2 linked regions of the Drosophila melanogaster genome follow. The protein of the gene in region 2 interacts with the protein of the main gene of each other region in a pairwise test. Each region holds a gene or a part of one and is shown on either strand. Other genes may lie near its edges.

Region 1 (3,188 bases), on a different chromosome or scaffold from region 2:
GGCAGATCCTCAGCGAGGAGGATGAGGTGCAGCAGAACGGTCGAGTCTTCAAGAAGTACAACCTCGGTGACTACAAGTGGAAGACGTTCACCGAGGCGGAGCGCACGGCGGCTAATTTCGGGCGCGGTCTGCGAGAACTTGGCCAGAAACCACGCGAGAACATTGTCATCTTTGCCGAAACGCGAGCCGAATGGATGATAGCTGCCCACGGATGCTTTAAGCAGGCTATGCCCATTGTCACTGTCTATGCTACGCTGGGCGATGATGGAGTTGCTCATTGTGAGTAAATTGGCTTACCATGTGTATGGTTTTTAAATAATATTTTGCTCTGTTGCCAGGCATCACCGAAACGGAAGTCACCACGGTTATCACCTCCCATGATCTGCTGCCCAAGTTTAAGACGCTGCTCGACAAATGCCCATTGGTGAAGACTATTATCTATATTGAGGATCAGCTGCAAAAGACAGAAACCACTGGCTTCAAGGAGGGCGTCAAGATCTTGCCGTTTAACCAAGTTGTCAAGACAGGACAGGACAGTAAATTTGGTACGTTTTGAAAGGGTCTTAAAAGATGATTTATTTATGTCAATTACACGATAAATTTGCTAAAATGCATCGTGTTTCACACCGAAAATGGTGTGGGCTCGACGTGTTCACCATCGGCGTTATCCTCAGGCGCCCGAGCCGTTGCCATCGATGTGGATGCAACCGGCTTCTGCGCATCATTATCATCCACAACATTGCTCATCCTTTCGAGGTTATCAATGTCATCTCTTTCGGTTGATCTGTTTTCACTATCAGAGCCTTGTGCTAATTCTGCTTCCGGCAAGTGGTTGCAATAGCGCCATCTAATCGAGACAGAATGTGTTGATGGGTCATCCAGTGTTTTAATCTACAACTCTCACCTCATGTCAGTACTGGAAAAACCGACGGGTTGCAACAGAATCGGCTTCGTTTGTTCTACATATTCGTTCACAAGACTGGAACCAGGTCCTATGATCAAATCTTCCTCCTTAGCCTCAAGGGTAACTCCTTCGGTTATCTTTTCCTCGTCTCTTTCTTGCTTAGAGGAATATGTGCGATACGCCCGAAAGATGAGAACGCCGCAGTATACGCCAAATAGTGTAAAAAATACGGAGCAGCTTCTCGGCTTTCCTGATGTTGAGCCTAGTAAAGCATTGCATTGTTGCACACAAGTCAAGGGCGTTAGGGTGATGAATTCCTCTAGGACTTCAGCCATTTCGAATGGTGTCTGAACTAAAAAATCACCCTACACAATTTGGAAAGAGTTCTTTCTGTTTACCGAAAGTATGCGCTTTTAATTCAGCACTGAAATGTTGACAGCATATGTATAGCGTGCTATGCGCAAGGAATTTGTTAAATATTAAACTAGTACTAATTGACTTTATTTTGTATCCCACAGAGCACGTTCCACCCAAGGGAGATGACATTGCCATTATCATGTACACTTCCGGATCCACTGGCACACCTAAGGGTGTCCTCCTCTCGCACAAGAACTGCATTGCGACAATGAAGGGATTTGTTGATATGGTGCCTATCTATCCGGATGATGTACTGATCGGATTCCTGCCCCTGGCTCACGTTTTTGAATTGGTTGCGGAAAGTGTGTGTCTCATGACTGGCGTTCCAATTGGCTACTCGACCCCCTTGACTCTGATCGACACTAGCAGCAAGATCAAACGCGGGTGCAAGGGCGATGCCACCGTCCTGAAGCCCACCTGCATGACTTCGGTGCCGCTGATATTGGATCGCATTTCCAAGGGTATTAACGACAAGGTTAACTCTGGCTCGGCGTTCAAGAAATCACTCTTCAAATTCCTTTACCAGTACAAAGTCAAGTGGGTGCAGAGGGGGTACAAGACGCCGCTGATTGATAAGTAAGAACGGTGTGCTCATAAATATCATGAGTTGCTAACTAAAACTATTATTTTTCTTGCAGACTGGTGTTCAAGAAGGTGGCAAAGCTAATGGGTGGCAAAGTGCGCATTATCATGTCTGGCGGAGCGCCTCTGTCAGCAGATACACATGAGCAGATCAAGACCTGCTTGTGCTTGGAGCTGATTCAGGGCTATGGCCTTACGGAAACTACGTCTGGAGCCACTGTCATGGACTGTAAGTGATCGCAGATCGACCTTTCTTTTGAAAACAAGTAAATAACTTTATACCCAATACAAGACCGTGATATGACCTATGGACGCACTGGAGGACCATTAACTGTCTGCGACATCCGTCTAGTCAACTGGGAAGAAGGCAACTACCGCGTCACAAATAAACCTTATCCCCAGGGTGAGGTTCTCATTGGTGGCGAGTGTGTCTCCCAGGGATACTACAAGTTGCCCGGCAAGACCAACGAGGATTTCTTTGAGGAGGATGGACAGAGATGGTTTAAAACCGGCGACATTGGCGAAATACAAGCTGATGGCGTACTTAAGATTATTGGTAAGTTATTTAGCACAGTGCTTTTTCTTTCATTTTTTTTATTATAATACGCTTTTTGCAGATCGTAAGAAGGATCTGGTTAAGCTGCAGGCCGGCGAGTATGTTTCCCTTGGCAAAGTTGAATCTGAGCTTAAGACTTGCGGAATCATCGAGAACATTTGCGTATACGGAGATCCGACAAAGCAGTACACAGTGGCGCTGGTCGTTCCCAACCAAAACCATTTGGAGGAGCTGGCACAGAAACATGGCCTGGGTGATAAGTCCTTTGAGGAGCTGTGCTCATCACCGATCATAGAGAAGGCTATTCTCAAGGAAATTGCTGAGCATGCGCGGAAATGTAAGCTACGATGCAGATTTGAGTATTTTTCAAAGTTTTTAATGGCAAATTGTTTAATCTTAAAGGTAAATTGCAAAAATATGAGGTTCCCGCCGCCATCACACTTTGTAAGGAGGTCTGGTCTCCGGACATGGGGCTGGTAACCGCCGCCTTCAAGCTGAAGCGCAAGGATATCCAGGACAGATATCAGCATGATATTAACCGCATGTACGCCTCATGAAAGTCAATGTACTAAGCCAGAGGTACCAGATGCAGCAACGACAACAACACGCAAACATTAAAGCAGCAGCAATGAAGCTAGTGTGTACTAATTGTTTTTAGTAGCACCCCACACAGCATAAGCATGCATACGAAATCCAAAACCAAACTAGCTTAAGTCCTAAAAGATCTAA
Region 2 (3,497 bases):
GAGACATTTACAGCTCAGATTATTATCGGTAAGACTTTGGATATACATATATATATCAAGATTGCAGCTACAAAGAGCAAACATTTTTGCTGGTTTTTATTGCAGAGTTCAGTCAAAGTCGCTATTGCCTGTAAGGTGGATGCCCTCGGAATCGATATTGTATGGAAAGTTTACGACCGAGAGCGATGTTTGGTCCTTTGGAGTCGTTCTTTGGGAAATATACAGCTATGGAATGCAGGCAAGTATCTTAAACTTGATTTAAATGCGCAATATCTAATTCCAATGCTATCCCTTTAGCCATACTACGGTTTTAGCAATCAGGAAGTAATCAATCTCATCCGTTCACGGCAACTGCTCTCCGCTCCGGAAAACTGTCCCACTGCTGTCTACTCGCTAATGATCGAGTGCTGGCATGAGCAGTCAGTAAAACGTCCAACATTCACAGATATTTCGAACCGTCTCAAAACTTGGCACGAGGGCCACTTTAAGGCCAGTAATCCAGAAATGTAAACATAAGATTTTACACATACATATGTATTTTCAACGAAATGGACTGTAAAATAAGTAGGTTTAAGAATTTAATAAAACGAATGATATCGAAAACCCGAAGAGTGTTGAGATGTTTTGGGAAAGAACCAATTGATTTTCGATTAAATTACCTTTTTTGTAACTTTATTAAGTGAGATTTGTTCGTAATAACCATATGGTATTTAAATGTTTTGTTGTGCCAATCGGAAAATTCTTTTATCCAGTAGCAATGCCCAGGGCAACGCCACCGAAAAATGATGCCAAAAATATGTGCAGATCGTTGACTTTTGGACCCTCTTCATCGCCAATCAGTTTGGTGTACCATTTCGCCACTTTCTTGCCGTTTCGGGTTAGGAGGCTTTCAGCTCTGTCTAATTGATTGTCGACATATCTTTCGGTCTGCAAATTGAGTTCAGCATAAATATAGTAAGCATATAGATAAACGGTTTAAATGAATTATACCTTATCCTTCCAGTTCTTCTCACGACCCAGCGAGGCTTCCACTTTATCGGCGAGCTTATCCACGCTCTTATCCAACTTAGACCAATTTATTTTTATAAGTCCTTCTTGGTGGGCGATTTCGAGCAAGATTATGCTGCCGCCAACTGCAAAGGCAGCAAATTTGCCTATTTTCATTGTCGTATATCCTGTGACCCTGAAAAAATTGTTATATTTTTAGTAAGATAAGATACACAAATTCCAGCAAATTCTATGGATTTCCTTAAATTTGCAACTCATCATTTGGCGCATATACATGTATAGTAAATTGCCGAGTTATCTAGCTTATCTTGTGCAAATTATATCAGTTTTATCTGATTAATAACTCATTTTATTACACTATTTAGTTCTTTTCCTTTTTAGGGAGGTCCTATATTTCTGTATCCCGCAAACAAACAACATTCATTTATACACGTATTTAGAAGTACATATTTGCAATAGATGGAGCGGCTAAGCATTCAGTTGTATATTTTAATTAAAAACGTATTCTGCAGTTATCTACCAGCTATTACCGAAAGTATGCAAAAAATCAATTTACTTCAAATTCCAAAGACAATCGGCATTGCTAAAAATTTAAGTGATGCGCCGCAATGATATAACCACATACCATCCTGATGAAACGCCAATAAGCATCTGCGAATATGCTGAACGTTGGCCAATATCGTTAAAAACTTTCTTAAAAATTTCCGAATAATTAGTCATTTTTAAAATTAGATGTCGACGTTAAGATGCGAAATTCTGACCGCCCAGTTTACGTCAATTTAACACAATAATATATGCCCGTCAAGATAGCGTCAATTTGGACAACATTTTTGTGTTGGGTTTATTGGAACTCGGAAGTGGAACATATGTTAGGGGAATTATGGGAAAAAGAGTAAGAAAAATAACTGGTAGCACTTAACGTAGAAACTGGAATAATCATACTTTGAATATTTATTATTAATCTGATAATTACCTTTGTGAATCCTGTATGCTTTGCACAACAATTGGCAAATTTCAAGAACCTCTTATTATTTATTTATCTTAGCTATTGCCTCATTTGAAACTATTAGTTAAATTCCAATAAAATATGAGATATCCATTTAATCGCTGCACTTTTCGTGTCGAAAACTAGTTTCGAGATCAAAACTATAAATTTAAGTATTTTTTTCTAAACGTCAATTATTTCTCCCCCCTTACTTTAGACAAAAACCCAAAGTTCGAATGAAATCTACAATACAAAATGTACATGAGTTTATTTAAAATAATTGTTAAAACTACTTAAATAAATATCATACAGTATATTTACAAATTCGAATAGATTAGCCAATTACTTAGCAATTTTAATTACTTTGCTAAATCACCAAGAATTATAAGTCCGTAATAAGCATTGATTACAGGTATGTTGATTCACCTGGAAATAAAGAAAAATATTCATTTATTAGTTTAGATTTTTTTGCTCAAACAAGCTTAATGAATTTATTAACTAAAACTCAACGAGAATACGATAAAAATCAAAATAGCATGAATGAATTAAAAGCAGAAGACTTTTGATGATGATGAAACACACAAAAGACACATTCTGCTTCAGGATATTTAGTTTTCAACAGCAACAGTGAAATAGTCGAATTAGTCGAAGTTCGACAGTTCGGTGCTAGTTTTGTTAAATGAATTGAGTAGAAGGACAATGGCAGTGCCCAGAGTCACATACTTATGAAGCGGTGAGGGATGTGTGATGAAAATCGATGCGGATACTGATTAAGGATTGCCGGTTAGTTGACCATTCGAGCCGCAGGCATGGGCTCCCACTCACTCACCTATGTACATTAAATTCTAAACAGATGTGCAGAGCGCAGCTGTAATCGATCGTTTCCCCGTGAAAGGAAGTGGATCTGTGTAAGCCTGTCTCTGCTAGTATACTCGTAAAAGTCTTGGGGACATATAAATCCAGTTCTGGTGGCTTCGTTTTATACATCAAAATTAAGAGATCGTTCAGCCAGAAGTCTTTTAAATCGTCTCGGGTGATTATTCTGGCGAATTCAATAAGTCAATAAGAATATAAATGTGTGGACGATAGCATATGTCGATAAAGGCTATCTCTTTTAACAAATCTTAATTTGAATACTCATACAATACAATTAATTACAAAATCAAACCGATAATGGTCCAGAAATCAATTGAATCGAAACTCTTAGTATTAAATAAATGTGAAATTAGAACAATTGTTCGGTATTACTCGATTAAAACGGATAGATTTTTAGTGAGATCTGGTCATTGAGAGTATAGTGTGCAGCAAACTCACCGGATTCCCAATCTTCCTCGCCATCTTCGGTACCACAGTTGAATTTTGGAGAGGATTGTTTACATGTGATGTATGAATTGTAATTGATGTTCTTATTTTCGTTTATACTTCGAGTGTCAGAGGTGATATGAACTTCACTATTCTGCCATTTGATTAAATCAGTTTTCTTAATGGACGGTTGATTAAATAT

The links.
Region 1: the proteins of CG5676 (region 2) and CG30355 interact in a two-hybrid assay, tested with the Drosophila melanogaster proteins (one large-scale study listed by BioGRID).

The regions. Positions count from the first base shown.
Region 1 is NT_033778.4:8,678,590-8,681,777, forward strand, and holds CG30355 (uncharacterized protein), read right to left. Parts: upstream 1,365-3,188; 5' UTR 1,240-1,364; coding exon 905-1,239; intron 848-904; coding exon 622-847; 3' UTR 557-621; downstream 1-556. Other genes in the region: Acsl (Acyl-CoA synthetase long-chain), read left to right, coding at 1-279, 339-545, 1,423-1,897, 1,960-2,132, 2,196-2,459, 2,521-2,796, 2,862-3,016.
Region 2 is NT_033779.5:10,254,088-10,257,584, forward strand, and holds CG5676 (uncharacterized protein), read right to left. Parts: upstream 1,805-3,497; 5' UTR 1,729-1,804; coding exon 1,634-1,728; intron 1,184-1,633; coding exon 991-1,183; intron 928-990; coding exon 745-927; 3' UTR 523-744; downstream 1-522. Other genes in the region: Ror, read left to right, coding at 1-28, 106-238, 298-510; Pten (phosphatase and tensin homolog), read right to left, coding at 2,400-2,419, 3,308-3,497.